2 linked regions of the Rattus norvegicus genome follow. Each later gene encodes a partner of the first gene's protein in a complex. Links are inferred from orthologs where the notes say so. Each region holds a gene or a part of one and is shown in the gene's direction. Other genes may lie near its edges.

Evidence for each region. The genes of interacting proteins can lie anywhere in the genome.
Region 2: Phldb2 (region 1) and Ppfibp1 share a complex: the UniProt entries of both Homo sapiens proteins name them as parts of the cortical microtubule stabilization complex. The link is inferred for Rattus norvegicus from reciprocal best matches to the Homo sapiens genes PHLDB2 and PPFIBP1.

The regions. Positions count from the first base shown.
Region 1 is NC_086029.1:68,320,417-68,324,573, forward strand, and holds the start of Phldb2 (pleckstrin homology-like domain family B member 2), read left to right. Parts: upstream 1-1,321; 5' UTR 1,322-1,562; intron 1,563-4,157. UniProt on the Homo sapiens protein: Seems to be involved in the assembly of the postsynaptic apparatus. May play a role in acetyl-choline receptor (AChR) aggregation in the postsynaptic membrane.
Region 2 is NC_086022.1:181,538,019-181,542,307, forward strand, and holds the start of Ppfibp1 (liprin-beta-1), read left to right. Parts: upstream 1-1,447; 5' UTR 1,448-1,616; intron 1,617-4,289. UniProt on the Homo sapiens protein: May regulate the disassembly of focal adhesions. Did not bind receptor-like tyrosine phosphatases type 2A.

The DNA.
Region 1 (4,157 bases):
TAACTTGAAAACTCAAAACAACACACATTCTTTATCTTACAGGTCTCAAATCAAAGGTTTAAAATGAACCATTAAGACCAGTCTCTCTCTCTCTCTCTCTCTCTCTCTCTCTCTCTCTCTCTCTCTCTCTCTCTCTCTCTCTCTGTCTCTCTCTCTCTCTCTCATCTAGAAGGTATCTAAATTCCTTGACTTAGGATCTTTGTCCATCTCCAGCAAGTTAACATTGCATTTTTAATATTTGACTCTGACTCTGACGTTACATGGCTTTTGATTTTAACCTCTTATGAATATATAAGATTCTGATTGAAAAAAGCTTCTGATTACAATAAGCTCCCATCTCAGGTTCCTTCATGCAGAAGATCCCACCATTTTCTAAAGAACTATTAGCAATCAGTGGCTGCTGGAAACTAGAGAAGCATTTCCTTTAGTGGTGTAATCACTGATGAGTAGTCTATATTCCTGTATGTAATCCTAAGTAAATTAATCCCCCCTCCTCCATCGCTTCCTCTCCCCCTCCCCCCACATACAACATACAACATAATAAAGTATGCAATGTTCATCTTTACTATGTAATGCACTGGTTCTCAACTTTCCTAATGCTGTGACCCTTTAATGCAATTCCTCATGGGTTGGTGATCTCCAACCATAACAAATTTTCACTGTACTTCACAACTGTAATTTTACTACTGTTATGAATCACAATATAAATATTTGATATGCAGTATACCTGATATGTGACTCCCCCAAAGAGTTCATGACCCACAGGCTGAAAACTTCTGCTATGAGGTAGCATATTCACAGTTCTGCAAATCAGACCTGGACACCGTCAGGGAGATGTTAGCCTATTTTAGACTATGTCATGGGAAGATCACTGCTGGCATTACTTTGAGAGCAGAGCTGGTTCTAATCCCAGTTTTAGCACCTCCTTCTCATTGTGCAACCAGCACTCCATTGAGCCTTTTCTCTCTCACCATAAAACTGTAACATAGGTGATGTGTCCAACATATACCACATTTTCAATACATACAACCCTATTTCTTCAAAGAACTGTAAGACGGTTCTTGAAAAACTCAATAGAAGAAATTCTATTACTAAACTAGAGGGTTAATAAAGGATCTTCCAAATTCCCTTCTGAGGCCATTAAGACATAGCAGCGTTAAAGCTTTCCTTTCTCCTATTGTTCTCAAGACCTCTTGTCTGCAGACCCAGTGTCAAAGTAATCTCAGCAGATTGTCTACAGCTCTCAGCCTCTGCTTTCTGCCAACCCCTCCCGGTCCTGCTCTCCGGTTCTGCCATCCAGCTCTCTGGTTGGATTTGAGTAGGCCTGGTGTGTATTGATTGGTCAGGTCTGCAGCAGAGACCAGCAGAGATTCCCTCCTTCACATCTGTCCACACGCCTGACCATAAGAAAGTTGCTGCCTGTGACTAGCAGAGAAGGAGGCAAAGGGTTACCTCCCTTTCTCTCTTGAGGAAGAGTGGAAGCTTCTGCCTCAGCCCTAGACTCTCCAGCTGAGCTGGGAAGGAAGCCAGAAAAGACACCGGATAGGAAAGTAACAAAGGAGGTAGGTAACCAACCATTGTTCCTTCTCTCAAGATCACAGAACAAATACCTTGCCTAACCTCATAACTAGGCCATCTTTGACATTTGCCTGCTGAAGGAGAGGTGGTAGATATCCCTGTATGTCAGGAAAATTCAGTTTCTTGTCCATTAATATAACCTGGAAGGCAAGTTGTGTTTTCTACTATCTTCTCTCACCTCTGAAAGTTGTTGACTGTTCCGCTACAAGTTTCAAGTTTTGTGGAGATTTTTCCCCCTTTCATTATAGAATATCCTATCTGTGATTGATTGACAAGTTTCCATTGATGGTGATTCCACCAACATAGCTCTTGGCTCCAGAACTTTGCTTTTATATGTTTCTTTCTGCCTACAAGATGATGCCAGAGAAGACAGTGCATATAATTCCGAAGACTGTTAACTTCTAGTGACAAGATTTCTCAGGAAATCACACTTTCGTGCTTTGGAACCTAAGGGGTTAAAAAGTCCCGCCATTCCTGGAGCAGAATCAAGCCTATTTACCCAAGCTTATCACCAGAGCAGCCAGGTCAATCATTTACTGACTCAGCACTGTTTCTTACCCGTAAAGGAGGACCACCAAAGTCCTTGCCTGACTGAGTGCCCCCACAAAACATACATATACACATTGTTATATAGAAAGTATTCACAGAAGCCAGCAAGAGCCCATATGCTTTTCTAACCCCTATACGTCTTTGTTCTTTCCAGAGTGGTAAGCACCCAGGAACCATATCAGCTCAGTGATTCATTAACTCAATCAAGACTCACTCACAGGACCAAAGCCTCGTTTCACCTGAAGCACAAAAAGTTGTAGCTTTAGAGAGAGCCTCAGCTGTCACTGGAGACCCAGGAAAGGTAGTTGAATGATCCAACAAGACAATAGCTTATTCTTGGAGGAGAGAAGAGTATCTAGAAACAATCGGAAGGGGATAGAAATGTCCTCAATTTTACACATTCCAAAAACTTTATTTTTAACAAATACGATTCACTCTTCTTTGGTCTGAATGTAACCCCACTAGTTGGAGGAGTGGTTTATCGTGACTACACAGACCTGGTAGGCCTATGTAATGATTTCTAGCTCTTACAATTATTACTCAGGTGGTTTGTGGTGGTGGTGGTGCCCGATTCTTCTGAACTCCATTTAGGAAACAGATTGACCCATGCACTGCAAAGTGATGTGTGATACTTATTTGGTCAATCATTTATGGCTAGGAGGTGAATACCCCCAGGTGAGGACTGTGACTGGAATTTTTAGTGGCTTGGCAGTTAATTAGATGCAGGAATTGAGACCACCGCAGACATTAAACCCCATTTGAAATTTGGACCATGTCTGAGCCACCTCCCAGGAGTGTCTTGGAAAATAACCATTTGTGAATTTTGTGATGATGCTCTGCAAAACGTTAAGTGTATCTGTAGCTGTAACCTCAAGTGTGTCTGTAAATAGCACAAGTGACAGAGGTGGGCAAAGGCTTCAGTGCATTCAAATAAACCGGCAGATTTGCCTACATGCTGCAGACTGCCTTCTTGTGCTTACATATCTTCTCTGTGTAACATCTAGCTCATACTGAGAAAAACGTCAGTGCAGTAGATCAGGCTCTTCTGTGCATTGTACATTAGCTAAAGAGAAATTATTGTTAAGACTGACTAGTTTAGTGTAGGCGCTGTCATTTTTTGTACACATTAGAAAGTTAGACCCGTGAAAGTCAATTAATTTTTTCCTTGACAATGCCGTGGTCAGCCAGAATCAAACTCATTTCTACCTTGTTCCCAACCTGTTGTCTTTCTCCTGAGTCAAAGTCGAGTCTCTCAGAACACTTGAGGACACACAGTAACACATTCCAGAGAGCCAAGCCAGCAAGGTAAACAAGCAATGCTCACCAACCCAGATTCTGCACTAGTCTGTGGCTGTGCTCTACCTAAGGCCAGTGGGTGTCGCTACTACAGAATGGCAAAAGCAGCCAATTTCATGCCTCTCAGATAGAAGATAAGAAAAGGAAACCAGCAGAGAGAAAAAGGATGTCCGGCCAGGTGTAACAGTCACTAGAGCATTCTGGATTCTAGTGAACTTAGTTCATTCTGAACTTAGGACTCAGCCCTTTCATTTCATGCCCTCAAACCCAGCGGTCCCTGCTGGAAGTGTTAGCCAGAAAAGGAAATGTTACTGTGTTTCTGGGACCTCAAAAGTTTACCATTTCATGTATTCCAGCTAATGCCTCCTCATCTAAACCCAGGGATTTGGTAAAATGAGGCTTTTACTAGTCAGGAGCCATTAGCAATCCATTCTGTTAAAGCTCCAATATAACCGACTACATTGATACACATTAGCCTGGAGTCTGTCTTGGCTTAAGGTTTCTCTTGCTGTGAAGAGACTCCAAGAATATGGCAAGTCTTATAAAGAATAATATTTATGCAGGGCTGGCTTACGGTCTCAGAGGTTTAGTCCATCATGGTGTTGTGTAGGCAGGCATGGTACTTAACTAGGTGATGAGAGTTCTACATCTGAATCAGCAGGAGGCAGGGAAAGGAGAGAGAGAGAGAGAGAGAGACAAATATAGGAACTGGCTTGAACATTTGAAACTTCAAA
Region 2 (4,289 bases), on another chromosome or scaffold:
AACATACAAACAAACACACTGCCTCCTGCTCCTAGGGTGGGGGGACCCATAGCCAACGAAAAGCTAACAGAAACTAATCGATTAATTGTGCTTCTAGATGGTGGTGGATATAGTTTGACACCTACATCATGTTCTGTATCGGGAAAGCTGCTTTTGGACATTCAGTTCTGTCCTGGGCCTGACAGGGGAAACTGAAAGAAGGGCTCCTGAGAATCTGCCCGACTTTGCAGCCAAGAGGATTAGACAGCTGATATCCACCAGAGGGTAAATAGTAGTTAATTCTTAATTGTTAGCTCAGTCGCTGCAATTGGTTCAACAGTAATTATTACCATGTGGTTTGAACTCAGTTGTGAGGGTTCTCCCTTTTCGGTTGTGCATCAGAACAGCAACCTTATGGCACTTAAAAAGTTCAGCGCAGGGGCTAAGGAGATGTCCAAGCAGTTAAGCCCTTCTGCTCTTTTTGCACTGAGTTCAGCCCACAGCCCCTACCTCATGACTGTCAGAACTCAAGGCTTCTAGCCTCCATGAGTACACATACATACACATAATTAAACAAAATAACAAAAATAGCTAGGTGTGGTGGTGCACATCTTTGATTTCAGCAATCTTAGAGGCAGAGGCTGGCAGACAGCTGGCTGTTCACGGCTGGTCCACACAGTTTAAAGACAAGACAAACCAAAAACAAGACAAATTAAAAAAAAAATCGTTAAAAAGCAGGTTGGTGCTGAGTTTGGTAGCATGGGTCCGTAATCTCAGCTCCTAGGAAGATAACAATTTGAAAATCAGCCTTGATGTGTATCACAGGGGAGAGAGAGAGAGAGAGAGGGAGAGAGAGAGAGAGAGGAACCAAACCAAATGTACATAGTAAAATATTTCCCCCACCCTCTGGAGAGTCCATTTTATTCTCTGGGAGCTTGTTTTTATTTTTATTTTTTTTGTCTTATCACTAAGTGCAAAAGCAGCCACGTGGTTGAGCGCCGCCAGATGACCACGCGGAGCTAGGGTGGCCACGTCTGGGATCCCAGTCTACCTAGACTCTGCAAGTCCTCAGTTTCTCCCGGACTGACCCCGGCCCGCGCTGCAGGGCAGGAGACCTCCGGGGCCTTTACTTTATAACCTCGCCGCCCACGTCCGCCCAGTCCACGACACAGAGGCGGTCTTTCGGGGTGGGCGTCGCTTCCGACCCGGGAAGAGCAGCGACCAACCGCCCGGCTCTCCACAGCCCTTTATCCGCGCCCTGCGGACCGCATCCGACCGGCCGCGCTCCCCACCGACGCCCACTCCCAGCTCTGCCCGGCTCCGCCAGGAATGTGGGAGACCCGGCGGCGCCTCGGAGTGACCGCGCGCCCGGCCAATCAGCGAGCCGCAGGAGCAAGGCCCTGCCCCCTCCGCCCCCAGGGCTGGTTCCCGCCGGGGGCGGGGCGGCGGGCCGAGGAGGACCGAGGGGAGGCGGCACCTGGGCGGCGGTGATGTCAGCCGGGCGCTGTGCTCGGGCCCCGGCTCCTGTCGCCGTGTAGGGCGCGGGGGCGGCCGCGACGGGAGCGGCGATCTGGCAGCCGGGCGGGTGCCGGGAGGCGGAACTGCAACTTGTGGAGCTCGGCGGCCCTTCGCCTCAGGTAAGCCAGCCGCGGGCGGTTCCTTCTGCGACCCGCGCCCGCGTTCCCGGGGATCTCTAGGGAGTGGGGGGCAGCCTCGGGGTGACAGGAAGGGCTCGTCCGGGTCCTCGGTTCCCGCACCCGGACTCCCCACAGCACAGAACTCCAGTCAGGCAAGTGTGCCCGGACTCCCCCCACAGACTCCAATCAGGGAAGTGTGCTCCCAGCTCACACCCAGACTCCCTTCCACAGACTCCAGTCAGGGAAGCGTGTTCCCAGCTCACACCCGGGTCTCCCCTTCCTTCACACCACAGTCTTCAGTTAGGGAAGTGTGCTCCCAATTCACACCCGGACTCCCTCCTACAGACTCCAGTTAGGGAAGTGTGTTTCCAGCTCACACCCAGACTCCCTTACCCCCCCCCCCCCCATACACACCCATAGTCTCCAGCCGGGATAGTGTGAGCCCATCTCACACTCGTCCCTCCACCACACCATAGACTTTGATACCACAGAACTCCAATCAGGGAAGTGTGCTGGGACCCCACACCCCAGAATCCCCACCACACTACAGCCTCCAGTCAGGGAAGTGTGCTTCCAGCTCTCACCTGGACTCCCCACCACACCACAGGGTCCATCCAGTCAGGGAAGTGTGCTGGCACCCAAACACCCCAGAATTCTAGTACCACGGAACTCTAGTCAGGGACTTGCACACAGTCTTACACCATGGGCACCTCACCATGCCACAGACTCATCCAGGATAGTGTAAGCCCATTTCACACCCCCCCCCCCCCACCTGCCCCCACCACCCCACCACCACCACACCATAGCCTCTGATAACACAGAGCTCCAATCGGGGAACCCCAGAATTCCCACCATACCACAGATCCCAGTTAGGGAATTTTACCCCACACCCTGGACTTCCTACAATAATACCACAGACTTCATTTAGGAACTGTAGTGGGACGCTACACCCCAGATTCCCTATAATATACCTCAGATTCCAGTCAGGGAGCTGTAGTGGAACCTCAGATTCTCTATATGATGCCCGCAGAGCTCCAGTCTTGGAAAGTGCGCTCAGACCCTGAATCTCAGTTTCCCATATTGCAAGAGAATGCCCATCAGGGACATGTGCTTGAACCCAGCCTCCTACACTACTACAGAACGAGCAGGGAAGTGTATGTGCAGGTGGGAACAGGAGTGGGGAGTATTTAAAAGTGCCACAAATATTTGTGAGACATCTTCCCAGAAAGTAAAGAGAAAATAGTTTTATATTTTCTCAGTTTCCCTACATCCTATCATGTATTGTTTAAGTAAAAGAACATGAGTGTTATTCTTACATATCAGTATAAAATACTCTTTTGCAGAGTCCAGTTAGGGTGTGAGAAACTCACTTGGAATATTCGTAGCTTAGGGGGAAACTGGTTTCTTGGGGGCACAGTTCTACAACTCTGTTGGTGTTTATACACCAGAGCAGTTAGGAAGGCGGCTGACTATTTAGATCTTGCCTGGGGCTTCTTGAGAAAAGGTTAATAGTTGTGTTTTCAGGGTTCACTTTCAGAGAAAGGAGTTTAAATTTTGTTTTATTACTTTTTATTTTTGAAACAGGATTTTACTAAGTAGCTGTGTCTGGCCTGAGCCACAGCATAGGGTAGACCACTCAGGCCTCAAACTCACTGAAATCTGCCTGTCTCTGCTTCCTGAGTCCTAGGGTTAGAAGCCCGTGGCAGCATTACTGTCTGGGAAAGGAGTTTTTAACAGGGAAATGTAGGGGGAGGGAGGGAGCATGCTATACAGACTTAATAATGGGAATATGACTTTTCCAACACGTGGGACCAAAACAAACCCTTGCTTTCAGTAAGAACTGACAGCAATGTGAAGGGAACTCAAAAGGTCTGTTTGTTAACCAGAGAAAGCAATTGTCTATTGGTAGGATTCTGATTTTATTTCTTGTTTCAAACCCCCTTTCTTGCTTGGAGATTTTCTGCTCATGGGTCACTGAGTGCAGCTGGCTTTCTGGGGGAAAATTAACTTTGAGCACGCTGATTCCAACACTGGCTGTCAGTGTTTCAAGGTTTTCTCTTAGAGCATGTAGCTGAGGCTTCTGAGGGAAGCAAGTTTCCTCTTTGAGGGCAGGGGTTCCTCAGCAGTGAGGATTCCCTGGTTGCCAGGTCTGGAGGAAGTGGGAGTGGACTTTATTGTTAGTCAGAAGCCGCATCCCAGACTCCGACCTAAAGGGCATTTCCAGGAGCTGGGGAAAGAAAGTCATTACATTATGTCTAGTAAACCCAAGTCAGGAAGTGTGGGCATAGAGGATTTTAAAAATGGAATTTAAAAGACATCTCTATGGCCAGAACTGGGAAGGACATTTGTGTGTTGTTTGCTTTGTTTTCAAACAGCATTGTTCTTAGTTCCTGGACTAGCTAAGCAGCACAGGACTTATGAAGAACAACCGTTTTGGCAAGGCGGTCCTCTCTCCCCTCTTTCTTCTTTGAGATAGGATCTTACCATGTTGCCTAGGCTGGCCTTGAACTTCGTTTCTTCTTTTGTCCCCCTGGGATTACATGTTTGTGCCATCATACCCAGCAAGAATAGGATTTTTGTAAAGGGAGTATGTGCTTTATGGGAACAGAACATTTTGATTTTTGTTTCATTTTTGAGCTAAGGCATTGAAATTGCTAATGGCCCAGCAATAAT